Struthio camelus: one gene and its partners. The protein of the gene in region 3 interacts with the protein of the main gene of each other region in a biochemical or structural test. Links are inferred from orthologs where the notes say so. Each region holds a gene or a part of one and is shown on either strand. Other genes may lie near its edges.

Region 1 (6,910 bases), about 29 Mb from region 3:
GGTTAGTTATGTGGTTACCTTGGAGAAGGGAGGAAAAAAAAGTTCTTCTTTTGTTTAGTAAGTATAAGTGGTCAGGGATTGGTCCCAATCCAAACTGGAAGTGAGCAGCATGTTTCCCAGCAGCGCTGAGTCCCTGTGAGTTCTGCCTGGACCATGGTTCAAAAGGAAGAGCCCCACTTCCTGCAGCACTCAAAGCCAGTTTCTTCTCTGCCCTATATTCAAGCGCAAATAAGGCCCAGATCTAAAGTGTTTTTATGATTTAATCAGATCACATCTTCACATCTTGCAATAGGCACAGAGTTGAGCAAAACCTCTCCTGACAGGAAACTATTCTGTGACCTACTTGAACATACATCAAGTTATACCATAACTGTAGCAAAGTGGTACCCATTCATACAACCCGCTGACAACAGAAGCATGAATGAGGAAAAGTGGAAGCGCCAAGAAAGCATTCAGCCCAGGCGCCATATACCCACTGGCTCCCTGAAACTTTGCTTCCTGTGTTTGTTTAACACTGCATAGGATTTTTCACCTTAAGAATTGAAACTACGTGGCCCAGCTAGCAGCCCACTGCTTTTCCTTGGAAGAGGGGCTGCGACTGCCTCCAGAAGCCAAATAAGCCTCTTGGCAGTCACCAAGAGCTTCCTCCCATGGCTGCTCTCGACAGACCGGGAACAAGTCTCGTACCTCAGCAGCCAGCCAGGCCCACGCTCCTCCAGGCTGTCTCTCCAGACAGCATCTTGTCTCCCTGGGGCAGGCTCAAAACCCAGCTCTCCCACCCACAGTTACCGAGGCCAGACAAGCTGAGGTAGACGTGGGCTTCACTGAACCTCCCAAATATACAACAGTCGTCCACAAAAGAGTGTCTTTTCGGCAACGTAGTTTTTTCTCCTGAAGGGTGAGTATTGTTGAAACAAAATACTTTGTTAGCAACGTCATTCTTGACAAGGAAGGTAAACCTTGTCCCTAAGAGACAGACCTATTCCCAAGAGACTTCTGTTACTCTTGGAGAGATTTCATGATCCTATTTGAACATACCAGCCACTTCACTGTGTGAGGAACTGACCTCTCTTTCTTATTCCATCATGCCTCCACTTACAAGGAATTGTAAAAAACCCATTTTTCCCCCTCAAAGGGTCTCTTATGAAGATGCTATTCTCCCCATATGTAAAAGTCCATTTGTTTTTTTTCCAGAGTTTTGCCTCACATGATAATGTTCCTGCTTCTGCATCCTGACTCTGAATCATTGCCTGTGAGTCTGAGGCAGAGGATGACCGAGTGTTGCCAGAGCTGTAATCACCACGGGGCAGTGGTCAGTTGCAAGTCACCCATTCCCAGGTCCTGCTTTGTCAAGCAGGACAGAAAGCTACTGCCTTTTCCTTCATAAAATGCACTTGGAAAAAAAAAAAAAAAGACCAAAAACAGAGGAGCAGGGTGCAGGTCTGAGGAGAGTATAGCAAACCAGGGATTTGCCCCGAGAACTAACACCCTCTGTTCATCAGCAAAAATACATTTCTCTAGACCTGGCTAAACATTTGTTAAAAGCAGGTTCAATTTCATCAGTTGTGCCAAGTTATGTTAGTAACATAACTAAGGCCTGATGCTAGCATTACACTCTGGTCGTGAGAATTAAGGTAAATCAGGCTGATCCCTTTGCAATAAGTAGTGCTGTCACACTGCAGTCAGCAGAACGACAGTTTCGTCCCTTGTGCTTCGCATAACATAGGAAGTTACGGGCATCAGCAAGCCATTTAAAGAAATATTGTTGGTCCACAGCTTTTGTGGTACAATAACTGACCACTGCTGTTACTTTGGGCAGAATTACCAACACCTTGGCTACAAATATATGCATCAACTAATACAAATATCTGTAGTACAAATTAAATCATACAATGGTTGTCCTTCAGAAGCATGCAAGTTCTTTGAACTATAAAGACAACAGGCAGAGAAAAAAAATGATATATATGTATCAGGCCTTCTTCCTCATGGCAACCTTTATCCTGCTTTGTCAAGGTATTGCTTTCTAGCTCATTTGATTTTAATACCATTATTTTCTTACCCTATTTCTGCAGGAGAGCCATTGTAGACTGTTATAAGTGATACTTTGGCACACACAAACTTGTGGCTTTTCTAAAGCACAGTTCCAACTTCAGCAATGAGAACACAATAGGTTACAGAAAAACATCAAAACAAGCAAAACACGTTAGAGGTCAACGGTTAAGGGAGATTAAAGACATTTTTCCATGATCTTTGTGTAGACAGCAGGAATCACAGAGTTCCATTATCAAATAAGCAGAAAGTGTTTTACGTATTTGAGATACAAACACTTATATGAAAGTTAGACCATTCTGCACCTTATCTTGTGTACTCAGTTTATAAGCTAACACAATATACAGGGAACTAATCTAGAATAGGTTTCATCTATATGGGGGGAGGCACAAAATTTTTTCTTGCTGCTGTCAAGCAATTCTGTAAAGTTAACCACTTCCTAGTTATTTTATCATTAATTACAGGATACTACAGTATCATGGCCTTTCTGAAAACAATGTGTTTCAGGCTAAGATAAAACATTATCAGTTGTATATTGTTTTATCAGCTCCATTTTATTTATCTCCATTTGTAGCCACTATAGGCAGTCAGCCAGAGTTTCTGGATACATTACAACGCTCACAATACTGAGCACACAGCTAGGAATTAAAGTGTAATGTAACTAAGGGCATAATTTTAGTTGCCTGACAATCAACTATTTTAAAGCATTAACTTCTGCTGTAACTTCCAAAACAAGGAGTGCTCCTTCTATGCCTCTCGAGGAGCTAATAAAAAAAATGGCATATGAGAACTAAAGTCACTTTATGAAAAAGTATATTTTAACTATGAAAACTCCAAATCTTCATCCCTGTTTTTCATAGCTATGCAAGCGTGCACACGCACACAAAAAAAGGAAAAAGAAAAAGGAAAGAAAAGAGAGAGAGAAGTAACCAGGTGCTAAACCTTACCTCATTGCTAGGTTTTTAGTGACTTCAGCAGGCAAACCTATGTAGAAATGATTTGGGTCAAAGCATTCATAATACTCGTTTTAAGAATGAGCAGAGCATGTAAAGCATCCCTTCCTACAAGGATAAACGGAGAGACAAATGCAGTAACTTCATGATAAGCCCTAATTTCTTAAACAATAAATCATGGAAAATAAAATCTGAAAAAATATGAAAAGAAAGACTATCATAGGGGATCCTGATAGCAAACGGCTTTTCCTGCTATAATCCCCCTACAAACAGCAGTTGCCAAAAGACTAAAAGAAGCAGCGGCACAGAGTGATGAAGCCCTGAAACTGGGTACAGCAGGCTACTGAATACTCCCCATCACTTGGGTGCTGCTTCGAAAGGAGGCAGCCTACAACTTCTGCTCTGCAGGCCAGTTCCCTTTCCCCAACCTTTTGCGGTGCTGCCCACTACAGCGCTTCGTGCAGGGAGGTGCACCTACGAGCACAGCACCCGTGAAACAAGATGAGAACACTGCGCTGTCGAGTCCTCTTCCACACGTTCCAGCAGACCACTCTGCTCAATGGGAAAAGCTTTGTGGGAGATGAAACATAGAAAAGTATCTAGGAGAGACAAAGCAAGAAAGGGAGCCTTTGTGGGGGAAAAAAGCAGGGAGGAGATGGACAGCCACGCAAGAAGAGAAAGCACCAGCGCTCCTGCCCAGGGAAGGGAGACAGCTGCTTTTGGTGTGAAGGGCAGCACGAGCCAAGCAGCACAACTGGCATGCGGAGAAGAAGGGCACACTCAGAATCACTCTGGGTACTCACTCAAATGTCACTGGGAGTCCGTTCATATGGCCCGTGCCCTCTTTGGGCCAGGGCTACTCTAAACTTTTATATACCAGCCATAACTAACAACTCATCTTCCACTTGCTGGACAACTCTGAGAGAAATTAAACAGCAATGCTTAACTCTGCAGCCATGCTGTGTCAAAGGTAAGATAGTCAGATAAAGCACCTGCAGCATTTACTCTAAAATAAAAACAAATGGTCAAGAAAGAAACAAGTACTCCCAAGACATATATGTAGCTGCATTTCTACTACAGTCAGCTTTTTCAGTCTTTAAAAGATACGCTCTTGTTTGACTCACAGAATAACACCAACTATTTCACATTAGCATTTGGAAAGATAAAGGTATACCTTACTTTAGCAAGTAGAAAATTCACAGAGCATCTACACTTAAAGTCCAATTTAAGGTTCAGATAGTTACCAGTTCTAACTTAGAGGGACTTGGAAAAAATTGGGAATCCGGTTACCGACTGGGCTGGTTGCAAGTATGCTGTTTTTGAGCGTTAGACTACGTTAGAGCATTCACCACGGTGAAAGGACAGTCACATCGCAGGACAGCGGGCAAGGGAAGCTATTAAGATTGCTTAACTCTCACAAAGTGTCAAAGTATACTGAGACACGACAGATTAGTGCCCCTTAGCACAGCAGTTACATAGTTACAAGGAAAGACCTTCATAGCAGAAAGTCATGTAAACAAAGAAATACAAAGCAAATGCTAGCTTTAAAATGGGCTTGATAGTCTGGACTACAGCGCCTTATATTACAGAAGTCATAGTAATTTTAAGCAGAGGTTTAAAGCGTGGCTTTTATTATAGCCTGCCGTTTACAGAACTCCATTGCATTTGGACGCTATTAGTTTTGAGAAATACTTCTACGCTTGCTGCATCGTACACGCTTCAAGGTGCGAGGACAGCGGCAGCGCAGCGCGCCGCGCCGCGGCAGCCGGCTGACAGCCGTCCCAGCAAGGCAAAGGCGGCCGAGCCGCCCCGCCCGCCTTACTAGCGGCGGGCGCTTCTGAGGGGCAGAAACGCGGCTGCCTGCGCCGGGCGCCCACACCGGCCGGCCCAGGCGGCAACCGCTCCCGCCCAACACCAGTAACATAAAATTAAAGCAAAACAAAACAAAACCCCTCTCTGCCACCCGCCGGGCAGGGCGGCCCGCGCCCGGGCGGGCGCCGACGGGGGCGCGAACCGGCGGCCCCGCGGCTGCCTTACCTGCAGTCGGCCGAGCGCAGCGCGGCGCCGCGGATGGGGCCCCGACGCCGCCGGTGCGGGGACGGAAGCAGCCGCACTCGCCCTTCCACCGCGGAGAGCGGCTCCCTACGAGGCAGCGCCGGCAGAGGAAGCGGCGGTGCCGCTGCGCTGGGGGTGGTGCGCGGGGGCGGTCTCCGCCTCCCCCCCCCCGCGGAGCTCTGCGCTGCGGCCGGCGTTGCCCTAATCGCCCACCTGGCTTGCGGCAGGTGTGAGGCGGCGAGAAACTAAAATAAAAAAGGTGACCCACATGAAGAAGCCCCGTTTCACTGGTGTTTCCACCGAGCAAAGAAAATTTTAAAAGGGGGGGGGGGTGCAAGTTATAAAACTCGGAGCAGGATGCAAACTCTCCCCCAAATCTGCGTGCGCCTAGCTGCTTGCACCATCTGGAGTTACAATGTGTGTGAGAAGTGTTTTGGCTCAGGTGCTGCTTACTCTGAACGATGTCACAGTGAAGAAAGAGCAGGCACACACGGGTCTGGGGAAGCGGTGGGGCGCAGCTCCTCTCTGTCCCAAGCGGGTTGTACCTTCCGTCGCGGCTCCTGGCTTCTGCGGGTCAAATCTGCCCCAAGCCTGGAGAGAAGCTGGGGTTACAATTCCTTCCTTCATACCTAACTATGCATAATGGTCACATCCAACCACCCCCAAGCTCAGGCACTCGTTTACAGAAGACAAAACTGAAGGCAGCTTTTCACACCAGTCAGGAGCTGGTGTTGAACTCAAGTTTTGAGGTCTATAGTGAGATATCACCCAGTCCCTCTTCCTGACCTTGTCTTAGCCCAATCTCCCCTGCAGCAACTGTCAGTTTACAAAATCCCATCAAGGGAAAAAAGAGCTTGTAAAGATCATTTAAAGCACATCTCAAATATTTTTAAGTATCAGTCCAGCAGGAAGAGAACTTGGGGCCTATGCTGCTTGGAAGCACATTGTTTTGTTGTGACTAGTATGTAATGGCTGGATCAGCACAGATGTCTTTCTGTTCAGCCTGGAGGAAATGACTTGCAGAGTAGTCTTTGTTTTCACTTGGGGGATTTCCTCCGAAGCATGCATTCGCCACTGCCGTGTCTCCCATGCCTGTCACGCTGCTACTGAGCCCAGGGAGCCATGGGGAACCTCTGCCACATGCAAGGGACAGTCACCGTGTAGCCACCTCGCAGGGCCCCGTCTCACCAGCCCTCTCCCACCACCCTCCACGCAGTCCCTGCACACTCACAGTAGCACACACTTAGGTGCTTATGCAGACCACCTAACCTGCTGCCACCATCAGTTTTGCCAAGTGGGCACTACACTGGCAACTGCAACTGCATTTTTGGAGCAACAGCAGCTATAGCCGCCCTCCTCTCCTCCTTCCCCCCCTCCCCCCACCTGCTGCTGTGGCAGGAGGAAAGGACAGTAAGACTAAACAGTTGCTTAAGGAGGGAGCTGGAATAGCATTACTCAATACAGTGCCATTTCTAAGTTCCAGAAAGTGTCATTTAGCGGAAAAGGATTATGCTACAATGTGATACGATCAGGAGCCGCTACATCTTTTCTGGGACTTTACCCCTGGGCTGCAGGGGCAGCAAAGGCATAGAAGAAAGCCCTTCTGTGGTCCTTTGCCATGTTGCGGTTGTCCTCCCCAATGACTGCTGACCTGGAGTTAGCCAATTTGAGTTGACAGATCAACTAATGGAGGATTTTTGGTGGAGGTATGGATTACAACAAGTTTTCATTTCATGTTTTATAAGGCTTTCTAATTCTCAAAAGATTTTCTGGCTTTTCTGATGCAGCTAGTGCTGGAGATGCTCTCTCCCTTCCTTCCCACCTCATTCCACCACAGTGGCTGATAAAGCCTT
Region 2 (7,764 bases), on a different chromosome or scaffold from region 3:
TTTTCTTGATTAGAGGGAGGTGGATTTTTTTCCCCTCCAGCACTGTTAGTTTTCACCTCCATCTCTGAACCACTGCCAATTGGCAAATAAAGCACAGACCTGGTAAATGCAGAAACCCTGCATATAAGCTTCTTCAGGAAGCCCTTTCTGATAACAAACTCTGAACTGCACATGGAGGCTGCAAATAGCTTTTGTTACATTGCAGTATTGGAGACTGAGGAGTATTTATATTTTGCCTACAAAATTGTTTTTAGTATGAAGGAAATAAACATAGTTCTCAAATGTCAGGTGAGATCTCTCTGACCCGGACATCACTAGACCCACTCTTACCAGATTGCACGTGTTGCAGCGGCAATTTGTTTTGTCTGCAAATTGTGAACAAGGCATTCAAGACTTGGTGGTGCAGGTTATCTTCTAAACCCAACTCTTCTAACTAAACCCAGCTATCTAGCTGAAGTCTAATTGTACTGCTTGCAGTGCATTTTACATTTTGACTAGCAGTTCTAGAAAGACCAGTGATGCTCTGCAAGTGAAAATGTTTTCTAGGCTCTTTCATGATAAAAAAAAACTTTGTCTGGCTTCTGTTTCCTTTTCCTGTGTATACCACTAGAGGGTATTATATACTATTGCAAATAACCAAGATGATAGGTTAATTCTTGGATTACAGGGGAGAATATAAGATATTTGTGAGTAGTTATTAAGCTAGAGAAACATCTTGTGATAACTCATGTTTTTATTTTTTCCAACTTCTTCCTATCACTCCTTCAGTGTTTGAATACTGATTGTAGATATTTTCAGGTGATCCCCATTTTTCCTATCCATTAGTCAGTATATGCAATTTTGCGATTGCATTATTTATTAAATGTTGCAGCTGGATGCTGTGCAAAGCAAATCAATATAAGGCTTAAAATGTAGTTATGAGGAAATGACTTTTTCTTCAAGCAGATCACATACGTTAGAGAAGTGTTCTACTATTTTTTCTATTTTTTTTCAGTTACTGATAAAATACAGTTAAATTACATCAACTAAACCTAAGAGCAGATATTATGTATTTTGATTTAGCAAAAAACAAAGCTTCAGTTGCTTTCACCCCAAGAATTTCTTTTCATCTGGGGTGTATTGTGACTGTCAAAAGTTATAATACGTACTACCTTACCTGCATGTATTTTGCTTGGGTAGAAAACAGAGTTTAGCTTAGCTCAAACCAATCTAATCATTTAGCAGTAGCTCGCTTTCGTCTAACATGTACCTTTCCAAACCAACACATAGGCTAAACAATAATGAAATTGCTTTGTTTTAGAATTGGCACTTTTACCTAAATTGGCAGGTGTAAAGAGCTTTGTTCTTCTTGTTTACTGCAGTTACATATAGAGAGAAATTGCAAGAGACTATACATTGATATGTTGAGCCATGATTACTATTGATGGGTTTTCTTATCAAAGATAATGCTTCAGGAACCTTGCCTTCATGAGCCCAGTGAAATGTTGTGTTATCTTAAGAAAAAGATGCATAGAGATTTCTGGCTGATTCTTCTTTTTTTTTTTTTTTAAATAAATCCTCTGCCTCCTAAATGTGTCAGTCTTATAGTAAGAAGCATTCCTTTTTTTTTTTTTTTTTTTTTTTAAAAACAGTCCTCTAAGACAGTAGTATAGTATAAGACATTGAGGTCAGATGGACAATGAATTAAGAAAGCTTTAAATATTTGAGGTCTGTAAGAGAATAGCCACACAATTCTTTCAGAACTAAGTGATCAAAATACAAATGCTTAAACTGCTGATACATTAGAAAGTCCAAAAGAATAATAACTAGGTTTCTTGATCATCTATTTTCCTATTTCCTGTCCGCGCAGAGGCAAAGTTATATAGGCATATTTGCTAGATTTGTAATTAGTGGACATGTATCCTGAACTATTTCAGGCTTCTGCATTTGGAGAAGTGATTGTAACTGCTTCAGTTTTTGTTTCATAACTGCTTTCACTACTGTATTTCTTCTCCACCTACTTCCAAATCCACCGTCTCCTTTCCCATTTCCTCTTGATTTAGATTAGGGTTGTTAATTTTGCTGTGGAAGCACAATTCATACTTGATCTGAAACAAATAAGGAGTCTCATTCTATACCCTTGATAGAAGTTTACTTCTCCTTACTTAGAATCCAGCCACATGTACAATTTATTTGTTATTCAGTACAACTGATAGGGGCAGAAGCTTCTGGTGAAAGGAGGAAGGAGCAGCTGGGCATGGGGAAAGAGGGACAGGAACCTTCTCAAGGGAATATTGTGCCAACAGAGTTTTTATTTCATCAGCAGCTGATGCACTTTAAGAAATCCCCACCTCCTCAGTTGTGCTGCAGCAACCATTCGACCATCCTCTGAGAGGGTGGAAGCCACCAATGGGTGAGAGAAAGAGCATAAACTTCTGTATATGTAATAAAAAGGTAAAGTGGTTCCATTAAACAGTCCTAAAAATCCATACATTTCTCCACTCTTCCTAGACAAACAGTAGTTGTAGGGATTTAACACATCTAAAATCACTGCCTGTAGTCTAGGTAGCTGATGCCCAGTCTTAGCAAGTAGTATTAACAATCTTGAACAAGTTACTTCTTTTCTCTTAGTGTAATAGAAATGGGATCTTTTACCTAGATCTGGCCTGGTTAAACCACAGCTACTGAAACTGAAGCAGGAATTACCTGAAGGGTACATGCAGCCTGCAAGAATGTAGGAGGTCAGAACAGATAATTGTGACAGCTCCTTCCAAATTGAAAACCTCGCTACATTTTAGAATCTTCTTTGGATGAAAAGGCATCTATTTTTTACTGATTCTGCTGCTAACTTGTGACTTTTTGTAATTATGTTTAAATGGTGTTGGGTATGTTATTGCAAATTGAAATACTATCTTTCAATCTCTACATTTTGGCTATGGCCACACAGAAAATGATCCAAATCCGTTCAAATGACAGAAGAAAACACAGCACCCTTCATAGTTTGTGGTAGCCTGTCTGCATGCATTTAAAATTGATTCCAATTGACAGATATGAGAACTTAGACCAGTAGGAATGAATCAGAGGTATAGCTGCCAGGTAAGTTGCCCTAGAAATGGAAGAATATCTTTACACAGCTGTATAGCTTCAGACGGTATTCTTCACCTTTAGGTCTGCTCAGTTTGGCTAGCACTGCTGCACATGGCTAAACAGCTGCTGTTTTCCACCCAGGAGATGGCTGTACTTCAACGGCTGGTAAAGTGATACCTGTACATGTATTTAGGGGCATGCTTTAAGATCCTTTCGCGCTAGTGATGAGATTTTCTTGAACAATTTTGTTTAAGCCATAAGCATCCGAGTAGGCAAGTCTTCCATTTTAGATCGTTTGAACTATGCTGAATGTCTAGAGAGATACATCCCATGCTTTCCAGTCCAAACACTTCAACTGGCACTAGTGGCCAACGTAGGAAGAAAAACAAGGAGAAAAAAAAAGACCGTGCTGTAACTAAGCTTTCAGAAAAGACAGAGCATGAAAGAAAAATATCAAAGCTGGAATAAGCTGACACAATAGGTCCAACTGAGCACTTCAAAACAGTCAACCTAAATCCGTCTCTTCTTGAAACGTTATTTACATGCTTAAAGCTGCTTCATTTTCACGCTGTCAGCCCCAAAAGCAAAACGAAAAACAAAAATCAAGGACACAAATTAAACAAAGTCATGAGAGCGAGCTAAAATCACAATGTTTGTAAAGGTTTATCACATGTCTGGGGAACTAGGTCTTTTGGGTGCTGTTTATTTTGGCATGCCGTTGCCCACTGCAGTGGGATACGCTAATTACCACCAGCGGCCCTCCCAAACTTGAGTCAGAGGGCGTAGGCCTCGCTGCCCACGCTCCCGCTCCTCCTCTGAGGTCACAGCGCGCTGAGCTCCCTCTAAAATTCAAACAGCTCATGCTGCACCGCCTGCCCTGCCCTCGGGGCTCGCCGCATCCTTTCCGGGGGTTTCCTTCCTCTTGGCGGCTGCAAGGCCATCGCCGTCGTCCCTTCCCGCCCGGCGCCCTCCTCGCCCCCGAGACCAGAGGCGAAGGCCTTCGCCCCCGTTAGCTGCGAACAGGCCCAGCAGAAGAGACAGGAAACCGTCTCCTCTCCTGAGCTACGTAGGAACTTACCTCCCTCAGAGGGGGTTATCACGGGGGTGCCTTTTGCCCTTCCAAAAAATTCAATTAACAGAACAAGAAAACCTCAGCCAGGCTGATCTCCGCCTCAGGGAGCCCTCGCCCGGGACGGGGCGGCCGGCACACAGGGATGGAGCGGGGACAGGCCGAAGCGGGGCACGCCGAGGGGGGCACGGCGGTGGGTGAAGGAGGTAAATGGCCCCCCCCCGACGCGCTGCCCAAGGAGCGGCCAGGCTCGGCTAGGCAGGCTTTCGTGGGGGGAGGAGGAGGGCGGGGGAGGCCGCGGTAAGGCCTGCTCGGTGCTCCGGGGCGGCCGCCCAGGAGGGGGGGGGCCCGCTCCCCCCGGCCTCCACAGCAGCGGGCCGGGCGGCCCGGCCGGGGCTCCGCCGCGGAAGGCTCGGACCGCCCCGGCGGGGGGAGGCGAGGGCGCTGCCGCCCCTCAGACCGCCGCCCCTCCCCCCGCGGCGCGCGGTCGTCGCCGCCGCCGCCGCCGCCGCCGCCTCCTCCTTCCCCCCCCCCCCCCCCCCCCGGCGCGAGCCGAGAAGCGCAACGCGCCTGCGCGGCCGCCGCCGCCGGAAAACTCCCACCGCCCGGCGCTGCCGCCGCCATTTTAGCATTCGGCTCCGAGAGTGGAGGGAAACCGGCAGGAGAAAGCGGGAGCCGAGCGCTTCTGTCCGTCCCCATCCCCCCCAGCCCCCGAGGCAGCGGCAGCGGGCTCCCCTCGCCGCCCGTCCTAGTGAGCCGGCGCCGCTCGCCCAGCCCGGCCCGCCGCAGGCCTGCGAGCGAGGCGGGAAGGATGCCCTGCACACCCCGCCGCTGAGGGAGACTCGGGGGCCCCGACCGCCGCGCCGCGCCCGCCCGCCCTGCCCCGCCCCGGCCGCTGCTCGGGCTCCGCCGGCCCGGGGCTTCCTTCTCTCTCTCCCGCCGGGCCTCCTATCGCTGGCTGAGCACTAGCCGCTTCCTGCTAGCCCCCAGCCCGCTCCGCCTCCCCGCCCAGGCCTTCCCTTCTCCGCGTCTCTGCCTCCGCCTGGGCCTTCGGGCTCTTCACCTTCCTGCCCCGCTCCCTTCCCCTTCCCCGCCCGGAGCCATGTCCTCCGCCGCTCGCTTCGACTCGTCGGACCGCTCCAGCTGGTACGTGGGCCCGGTGTCGCGGGCGGAGGCGCAGACGCGGTTGCAAGGGCAGCGGCACGGCATGTTCCTGGTGCGGGACTCGTCCACCTGCCCGGGGGACTACGTGCTCTCGGTGTCGGAGAACTCCCGCGTTTCCCACTACATCATTAACTCCTTGCCCAACCGCCGCTTCAAGATCGGCGACCAGGAGTTCGAGCACCTGCCCGCCCTGCTGGAGTTCTACAAGATCCACTACCTGGACACCACCACCCTCATCGAGCCGGCGCCCAGGTGAGTGCCAGCCTCCCCCCCCCGCGGCCCCGGCATCCCCACGCTGGACGCGGGGCCCCGCCGTGCCTGCTCAGGAAACGGCCCCTGAGGGCCCTTCCTTGGGAACCGCTTCCAACAGCGATCCTCCGCACTCCGGATCTCACCGGCCGTTCCGAGCTGCTCTTGCAGGTATATCGGCTATAGCAGTGCACGTCCTTACAGAGCCCGTGGGCATGTGCGAAGGTGCTGCGTGCATCTCTGCCCCCCGACTGCAATTCTCTCGCAGTGGGTGTGGCCTCGCTTTGTATCAGCCTGGCGGTATTGTCCTGCTCCTCGGGCGGTTGAGGACCTGGTTCACAGCTCTTCCACTCAGCGATCGAGATACAGCCTCAGAGCTGTCCGTCTCCGCGTCCACAGCGGTTAGAACAGAAAAGGCCTTTACGTGGTTAGGCTGTACCACCCTGTTAAGTTAGTTTTAACGCGTTCTAGGACAGCGTTTCCCAAGCTTCTGGAGTTCACTTCCCCCGAAGAATGGAAATCGTAATATTTCTCCCAGCCTGGTAATGGCACTGTATGCCTGTGTCTGCATACTGCATGCACTACACTAAAAAATGCTGCTCTAGGAGGATGGAAAAATATGACATAGCTATGAGCTCATTCTTTGTTCTGTTCCCAACATGAGACATAACCTGCTGCTTGCATCAGTAAACTATTTTAGATTTATTGATGAACTTGCTCGCTCCTTACTTTGATTTATAAAGCTTTTCTCAGTATGTTATTTCAAAGCTGTTCAGCTTCCTGTACAGAATGGAGTGAAAATAAAAGCTAGATAAATAGTGAGACACACACAGACAAACAAATTCAAATTAGTTCACTACTAAATTCAGCAGTTTAAAATGTTCCTATCATCTGCAGATTAAATAAGTTCTTAAGGAAAAAAAAAGAGCTTTTTGCTCACGAGTTAAGCTTGGCTTTAAGCATAGTGATGTTCTTAACAGTCAGTAATGTCAAAAGTTGACAATATCTTGTCAAATTCCACAACTCAGATGGTCAAAAAAAATCTTTCTGCAGAGCTGTCAAGTGATGTAAGGGATGTGACAAGTCACTAGCTTCTAGAACTGTTAAAGCTGCTAGAAAGTCTGCACAATTGTGCTTTGGCTGGAAAGATGAATAGGTGAAGAATTTGCTCATCTTTCACAGTTGCAGGGCTACTTAAATGGAGCTGCCCAGCATTATGCGCATGTTTAAACTTGCAGATGGTTGGGAGGAAAAACCTACATTGAAGCAATCCTTATGTTTATCTCAATTCTTCCCTGAATATGGATGTGCTTTTCTGAAAATAAGAACCTGTTCATAGTCATGTATGGCAATAACTTATTTTGCTTTCCTCAGCCACTTAAAAACTTGGTGTCACTTAGCTGACCCCAACTTGCTCACTTCCTATTTATTTAGAATCTTGTGTCAAGCACATTACAAACATTTCAGAACCACATCACTTCAAGCTTTTGATTGCATATAGGAACTGGTGGTTGCTCCCCTAGCGTACAGAGACAGATTTGAGACCTTGCATGCTGTGGACTGACCTTTTTTTTTTTTAAACAGAGCTATTAATGGGATTGATTAGATGGTTTTGTTCATAGTATTTTTGTTCAAACTCTTGGAGAAAAATCAATGACACAGTTGATGGCTCAAAATTAAACTTAAAGGAGACTTCCTGCTAGAAGGGAGAAAGAAAAGTAGCATTTCCTGACTTTTTTTTTTAAAAAGGTAATGAACTGGACTTAGAATACGAAGGGTAGGCATATGCTTCAGAACTGTTATTTCTTTTTCTTCCTTATAAAAACTTGGCTTTTTTGGGAGGGGGGAATACTTTATTCAGGTTCTTGTATTCTTGAAGGCTTTTTTTTAAATACCGTTAAGGACAGGATGAGGAGATAGTTGTCATGATGAGATTGAACAAGTTTGTTGGTGTACAAGTTTCTTTAGCTGCAGGAGATGACGTTTATGCCAAAACAGTTGAAAACTAAATTTTCTATTTGTTTTCTGGCAATAGTGAGTTTTTACCATCATTGCAGATGTGCCTAGGCCCTTGCTTGTGTGGAGTGACTGGTCTCTAAAGTTTCTTCCTCTTTGGCTTCAGCAGGATACCTTAAAGAAACAATTATATTCCTATTTAAGGTTTCTGGAATATCTTAATAAAAAACACAACCAACCAACCATACTTAACTTCAGTC
Region 3 (7,513 bases):
CCCCTCCAGGGAAGCCCCATGCAAATCAAAGGCTCACAGGTGCCCTGCAGGCGCAGCTTCAGCAGGTTTTGCACGGTTGCATGAGGGTCTGTATTTAGTCAGGAGCTGAAAAACGTTTCTCAGTGTCAAAGCACGTGGGATGGGGTTGCAGCAGAATATGTGTCTTGTAGAAGGCAAATCGTCACAGTTTCAGTTCAAAACTGGTCACGTGGGCTTCTTAACAGGAGGTAAGGCCCTACAGACCCTCTCATTTGCCTCCTCGTCAGACTGGGGACTGCTGAAACCTAGCAGCCTAGACCTGAGGGCTCCTGTTCAGCTAAAGCATCTTACGCAGGAAGGGCTCTAGCCTGGGATCAGGAAGTCAACAGCTAGCAAGTCTGCCAGAGCCCTTGAGGGAAAGCACAGCCCAAAGGAGCCCTAATCTTCAGAAGGAAAAGAAATTCCAACCTGAACTGCAACTGATCTCAAACGAAATCATGCTCCCAATATAGAGGATCAAAAATCACAACCAGCTCCTTGCAGAGAGATCAGGCGCAGCTCCTGCGCCTCTTGCTGCAGGCCAGACCTTTCTAAAACACATGCCATCCTCGCAGCACTTTGCTAACCTCTTCCCAAGCTGTCAGTGTGCTTCATGAGCACAAGCATCCGGCTAACAGCTACCGTGTAAGGGACAGCGTGAGCACCTTCCTGCTCCAAGCAGCTGTTCCCCTGCCCTGCCACTGCCCCACATCACTCTGTGAAGGCGCTCCTGTGTGTTCCCGGCTCAGCCCCACAGGCCCTTTCCAGGGAAAAGGCAGCAACACCGCACAAAATGGACTTTGGCACAGACAAGGAACGATTCCCAGTGCCATACCTGTGCTCCTTGGCCTGACCAGCAGGCGCTCACTGCGCAAACACATGTGATTTGACAGCAGGCTGCAGGGAGAGGCAAGCAGGGACAAAAAACGGCTTAAGATAAGTCATGCTCAGCAAACATGTGCGTCCTCGTGGGAAGGTCCCAGGATTGCCAGCTTCACAACCAGTCATCATACGGGGCAGCCCTGACCAGCGCTCACAAAGCTGCAATCAGCAAGAACTCTACCCAGAGCCTTGCAGGCATCTCGTCTGGCAGAGGAGAGACGGCGGACCCAGAGGGGCCGGGCGAGCGCGGGAGGCCCTGCAGGGCAGCGGGGATGGCCGCACTTGCTGCTCTGCAAACTCTGCCTTCCCACGGAGGCGTCTCAGGCAGCTGCGGTGTGAGGTGCGGGCAGGCAAGCTGCTACACTCGCTGGCCACAACTGCTCTAGGGAGGAGCTGCAGAGCTGACCGCGCTCCCCAGCGGGGCTGGCTGAGCTCCCTCAGGGCCCAGGCACAGAGGGCTCCGCCGCAGGCCTGGCACTGACAGGGGGCACCCTGGCTCCAAAAAGGGGCGAGCCCCAAGAACCGGCGGAGGGGCGACAGTCAGCACTGCAGCTGGCTGCAGGTTTGGCTCCTGGTGCCAGCTGCACACGCAGGGCTCTCCGTGGCGTTGTTTCCGCCCCTCCAGCGGCGGGAACGGCAGGCAGCGATCAGGCCAACGCAAGCCGGGGTCCACGGAGGGGCGCAAGGCTCTAGGCAGAGGGAAAAGAGCCAGTCCTCGAAGCGTGAGCGCAAGCAAGAAGCTACCCGAGGACAGGCTGAGGAGTCCCGTTACCACGCGAGTCCCGTTACCAGCACGGCCAGGAGCTACGCGGAGCGACCCGGTGTCCCGCAGCCGAGCTCCCGGGACCAGGCTCCCCGCGCCGGGCGCAGCCAGGCTGCCGCGGCTGCGAAGCGAGGAGCTGTGCAGCCTCCTCCCTCCCTCCCGCACGCCCCCATGCCCCGGCCTGCCCCGCGCAGACCTCCCCGGGGCCCTGCGGGGCCACCGGTGCCCCCACGGAGGCGAACCGCGGCCGGGCTCCGGCTGCAGGACCTGGGATGCCCCCGCCGCTGCCGGCCCCGCGCTCACCGGGAAGGCGATCTCGCACAGCTTGGCCACCCACTCCTCGCTCTGCTGCTTGTCGGCCGCGAAGAGGTAGCTCCTGTCGCTGGTCTCCAGGCAGAAGGCGGCGGTGCCGTGGCGGGGGCCGCTCTCGCCGGCGGGGGCCACGCTCACGCAGTCGGCCAGCCGCACGATCTTCTTGTCCAGCCGCTTGGTGCTGAGCTTCTCGGGGGCGCCGGCCGGGTCCTTGCAGTCGAAGAACTCAAGGCGGGCGACGCCGTGCTGGCTCGCCGGGTACAGCACGAACCAGTTCTTCTTCCAGCGCTGCGGGGCGGCGGGTCACGGCCGGGCTGGGCAGCCCCCGGGCGACCCTGACCCCCCCGGCCCGGCCCCCCCCCAGCCCCGAGCCCCGACCCCCCCCCGGCCCGGCCCCCTCCAGCCCCGACCCCCCCCCCGGCCCGGCCCGGCCCCCTCCGGCCCCGACCCCCCCGGCCCGGCCCCCTCCAGCCCCGGCCCCGACCCCCCCGGCCCGGCCCCCTCCGGCCCCGACCCCCCCGGCCCGGCCCCCTCCAGCCCCGGCCCCCCTGGCTCAACACCCCCCGGCTCGACCCCCCCCGGCTCCAGACATGGCCCCCTGGCCCCGGCCCCCTCCTGCCCCGACCCCACCGGCTCGACCCCCTCCAGCCCCAGCCCCCCCCCCGGCTCGACCCCCCCCGGACCAGCCCCCCCGGCTTGGTCCCGGCCCGGCCCGCACCTCCGCCGGCCCCGCGGGAGGGCAGCGGCCACCGGCGGCGGAGCCCGGGCCCCAGCGGCCCCGGCCCGACTTCCCCAATCGCGGGCGGGCCGGCGGCAGGGAGCGGGCCGGGCCGAGCCGAGCCGAGCCGAGCCGGGCCGAGCCGAGCCCGCCGGGCCGGGCCGAGCCGAGCCGGGCCGAGCCGAGCCGCCCGGCCCCGGCCCCACCTTGGCGCCGAACTTGTGGCTCTGCTGCACGAAGAGCGGCCCCTCCTTGGCCGGCGGGTCCATGCCGGCCGCCCGCTTCCGCCGCCCCGCGCCGCGCCGGGCCAGGGCCGCGGGCGGGGCCAGGGCGGGGAGGGGGGGGGGGGGCAGGGCTGGGGGCGGGGCCAGGGCGGGGAGGGCGGGGCCAGAGGGCGGGCCATGCCCCACCGCAGCCGGGTGCGCGCGCGCCGGGGGGTGGGTGGGTGGAGGTGTGTGCGCGTGTGCGCGCACATCTGTGTGTGTGTATACGTGTGCATGCATATGTTTGTGTGTGTGTGTGTGTGTGCACACATCTGTATATGTGTGCATGCATATGTTTGTGTGTGTGTGTGCACACACATCTGTATATGTGTGCATGCATATGTTTGTGTGCACATCTGTATGTGTGTATATGTGTGCATGCATGTGTTTGTGTGTGTGCGCGCACATCTATATATGTGTGCATGCATATGTGCGTGCACATCTGTATATGAGTGCGTGTGTGTGCACATCTGTATGTGTGTATATGAGCGTGTTTGTGTGTGCACATCTGTATGTGTGCATGCATATGTTTGTGTGCGCGCACATCTGTATATGTGTGTGTGCATATGTGTGTGCACACATCTGTGTGTGTGTGTGTGTGTGTGTGTGTGTGTGTGTGTGTGTGTGTGTGTGTGCGCGTGTGTGCGCTCACACGCATGCATGTGTGTAAGAAAACTACCATTATTTCCATTGGCATAGCCTTGATTAAACTTAGCCTCGGTGCTTGGAGTAGCGCAGCCTGCAGGCCTAAGCTTGAACTTTACCCGAACCTGTGGGCTACTGCTGACACAAGTGCGGGGCGGCTCGAACCAGCCCCCAGAGGCACAGCACCCGAGGGGCAGAGGCAGCCGTGAACCTCCCATAAGGTAAGGCACCGCGAAGCGGGAACACAGCAGCCGTCCTGGGACGTGGACACGAACCAGCGAACAGAGACCAGCGACTCCGTAAAGAAGATTGGAAGAGACTGTCGCTGGCAGGCGGGGAAATCAGGCTGTAAGGAGTATAGGTATCCCAGAATTTCTTTGTTCTGGGTCCCTCTTCGGAGGCACCCAGCTCAAGCTGAAATAAACGCTCGTAGAGAAGCCTGACTCTGACTCTGGTGAAGGCCTGGGGCCCCTTATAGCAGTGTGCGTGCCTACCACGCACGGTAACTTGTGCACGCCACGCCTGCACACCAGTCAGCTGTGGGCGCTCGTTCCTGCCACGCACCAGGAACGTGTGTGTGGGTCTGTATGGCACACCGGTAACGCGCGCACCAGGTACCGCTAGCGTGCGCGTGTGCTGCGCGCTGGTAACGTGTGCACACCGGGTCCCGCACAGTGGTAGTGTGTGTGCATGTGTGTGTGCGTGTGTGTACCTGCCCAGCACCCGTAAAGGGTGCACTGGTAACGTGTGTGCGTGCGTGTGCATGTGTGTGGGCGTGTGCACGTGTGCGTGCCACCGCACACTGGTGAGACGGCACAGGGTATTGTGCAGTGGTGACACCTGGCACAGCAGTGCGTGTGAGCTGGCACGGCGTGCTAGTAACATGTTTATCGTGCACAGGCGACGTGTTCCCCACACGCCGCTACCGTGCGCCCACCTGGCTCCGCGTCCGCTCCGGTCGGTGACACAGCCGAGCCCCGGCCCGCCCACCGGGCCCCGCCCGCCGGGGCCGCCCCCCGCGCTGCGGCGGCGCGTCCCCGCGGGGGCGGGCGGGGGGCCGCGCCCGGCCCGTCCCTCCGGGCCCCCCGCGCACCGCTGCGCCCCCGGCCCGTCCCTCCGCGCATCCCTCCGCGCACCGCTGCGCGCATCCCTCCGCGCCCGGCCCGTCCCTCCGGGCCCCCCGCGCATCCCTCCGCTCACCCCCGCGCATCGCTGCGCGCATCCGTGCCTTCCCTCGTCCCTCCCTCCCTCCCTCCGCCCGCCCGAGCACCGGGCTCCGCCGCTCCGGCCCGCGGGCATGGCGGAGCGGCCGCGCTTCCTCTGCGGCGTGGTGGAAGGTAGGTGCCGCCGGGGCCGGGGCCGGGGTCGGGGTCGGGGCTGGTCCCTCTGCCCGGACAGCACTGGGACGGGACGGGAGACTGGCTCTGAGACGTAGTGCCTGGGGCCCCGGGCATCGGGGAGGCAGCGGCCCGGGTCCCTGCCCGGTGCCCCGTCCCCGCCCGGGATGGGGGACCGGCCTGGGTCCCTGCCCGGCGCCCCGTCCCCGCCCGGGATGGGAGACTGGCCCGGGTCCCTGAAACTCCCCCAGCTGTTCCCTAGCCGTCCAAGCAGCAGCCGCCTTGCACCAGGGCATGGGCACCGGCTGCTCTGGCTCCAGCACTGGACAGTGCCTCTTTCTCTGCCCTGGGCACGGAGGTAACATCCCTGTGTGTGCTCCCACTGCCTCCATACCCCCAGCGCGGCGCTGCCCTGGCTGTGCTCGGTGCTGCCTGGGCCAATCCTGCTCTCAGAGGGCTGCTCGGTGTGGCTCAGCCCCAGTCCTTGCAGCACAGCACCTCTGGAGCTGGGCCGGGCCTGGCACCCACTGGGCAAAAGCACTTCCATCTTTCCTGGCAGCCCTGTACCATACAAGTAAATACAAATCAAAGAGAAAGTGGGAGAATAGGGAAGTTGATAGTAAAAAGAAATTTGAATCAGACAAGAATCATTGGTATGGGAAAGCTGACCTGGGAAAGAGACCTCCTCTTCAGGGAGGAGGAGGAGGTTTCTGGAGAGTGAGGAAAGAAAGGCATCCGTGATCCCAGTAGCACAGGGTCTGGCAGGGTGTGCACAGTGGTGCTATGGTGGGCAGGCTGCTGAGCAGGGCACAGCTGCGTCCAGGCCCGGGCAGACCGGGAGTGTCCTGCCCAGATGCCCCTGCTCCCTCCTGGTAGCCGAGACATCACCAGCAGCAGAGAGCCTGGATGGGCCAGAACATCTGGGTGACCACGCAAGACAGGGGAGCTGGCAGGGTCTTGGGAGGATGCTTTCCAGCCAGGCACATCCTAGCTCGCCCAGAGGTCGGCAGGCAATGATGTTCACTGATACAGTGATCTGGACCTTGGGAGAGCAAACAGCCTCACTCATCAGTGCTTGTCTGTTTTTAAGGAAGCAGTGATTCAGCATCACCGCTTTGGAGATGCAGCCACGGGCACAGGCAGGATTTTGCTGGCACAGTTTAAGCCAGTTTTCTGAGTGGGCTAGGGACGGCACCTCCACCAGGGCTGCTGCTGGCAGGGCCATGCTACGAGGCGAATCTCATACTTTCAAGACAGTGTCAGCTCACAACAAAGTGTGAGCGTGGCCCTTGCAGGCAGGTGCTGTATGGGGACTGCTGGGACCTCATCGTGAGCTGAACAGGAGTTCCCAAGGATTGGGAAATGGAAAATCCATTTCCTATAGAAATACTTTGAGTGAGATGTTTTCTGGGATCCCTGAGTGGCCACATATTTGACCCCATGCATAGGACTAGCAGAGCAAATATATATCGTTTCAAAGTAGATGGAGTATGCTTGTGAATGTTCAAGAAGGTAAAACATCTCTCTGCAGCAAACACTCAGTGTGTGCTGTAGCACAAGCCACCCCATCCTTATGGCCCAGGGTTAGTGCTGAGGGCTGCAAGATGGGCTCCTGCCAAAGGGACCTTCCCAGGTAGAGTGGCTCTACTGCGCTCAAGTGCTTTGGGGAAAGCTTGTTCCTGGGCGATGCTGGCCTCATGCCAGGTGCCAAGAGCTGGCCCTTTCTGCCAGACTAGCAGAGTCATTGTGATCTGCCCTTGTGCGCAGCCCGGCCCAGCCCAGCAAATGCATTCACTTATTGAATCTCTGCTCTTGTTGTTCTCATCTGATAGGCAAGTGCATTGTCTGAGTTAAAAGCTGCCCATGACGCAGAGCCCATCTGAAACTGGGAAGCTGCCCTGATGGCTAATTGCCATCACTGTTCAAGACATAATGCATTTTCTGTGAGGCTTCTAATTGCAGCCGCCAGGTCTTGCCGTGACTTGACCATGAGGCTGAAGGTCCCTGCCTTGCTAAATTTCAAATCTATGCTTGAACACTTACAGGTTCTCCTTAACCTCTCTTCAAGAAGCAGTCAAATTTGCAGCTCTCCAGACTCCTTTACCTGCCTATTCCCGCATTGTCCCCAGGTGAACTAGCATCTAAAGAAGCTCCTCCAGCCTAAGTGGAGAGCTGAGGATGGACATGCTTGGTGCATAGCAAGGCTCAAGTGTTGGAGGAGGGTGAGGAGCAGACGAGACGTGCCATTCCCACCACAGCCCCATTCCCTGCTGCTCTGGCTGGCAGGAGGGCACCCAGGGCAGATGATCAGCTTGCAGCGCTGCAGCCACAACCCTGTGTCGGACACTGGTGCCTGACAACCTCCCGAGCCTGCAAGCAGCAGAAGCAGAAATGCTAAGAAACGCTAGGGAATTTGCTGACTCCAGATCTGTATTTCCTGCATTCAGTTTTGCTGAACAACCTTCTGGAAGGACAACGTCCTTCTGGCCAGCCTCGGCGCTCATTAATGAATGTCCTTGCCAGCAGATAGCCCTAAGATTGCTCCCCAGGTGCCTCCCTCCAGTGGCCCTTCCCT

The links.
Region 1: of the proteins of DOK1 (region 3) and TEC, one has a biochemical effect on the other in vitro, tested with the Homo sapiens proteins (2 studies listed by BioGRID, with this or other methods). The link is inferred for Struthio camelus from reciprocal best matches to the Homo sapiens genes DOK1 and TEC.
Region 2: the proteins of DOK1 (region 3) and CRKL form a complex in vitro, tested with the Homo sapiens proteins (2 studies listed by BioGRID, with this or other methods). The link is inferred for Struthio camelus from reciprocal best matches to the Homo sapiens genes DOK1 and CRKL.

What each region holds. Positions count from the first base shown.
Region 1 is NC_090945.1:58,357,508-58,364,417, reverse strand, and holds the start of TEC (tyrosine-protein kinase Tec), read right to left. Parts: upstream 3,017-6,910; 5' UTR 3,002-3,016; coding exon 2,997-3,001; intron 213-2,996; coding exon 19-212; intron 1-18.
Region 2 is NC_090958.1:9,180,505-9,188,268, forward strand, and holds the start of CRKL (crk-like protein), read left to right. Parts: upstream 1-4,748; 5' UTR 4,749-5,237; coding exon 5,238-5,551; intron 5,552-7,764. UniProt on the Homo sapiens protein: May mediate the transduction of intracellular signals.
Region 3 is NC_090945.1:87,727,771-87,735,283, reverse strand, and holds the start of DOK1 (docking protein 1), read right to left. Parts: upstream 3,018-7,513; 5' UTR 2,963-3,017; coding exon 2,900-2,962; intron 2,264-2,899; coding exon 1,967-2,263; intron 1-1,966. Other genes in the region: protein O-GlcNAcase-like, read left to right, coding at 4,899-4,938. UniProt on the Homo sapiens protein: DOK proteins are enzymatically inert adaptor or scaffolding proteins. They provide a docking platform for the assembly of multimolecular signaling complexes. DOK1 appears to be a negative regulator of the insulin signaling pathway.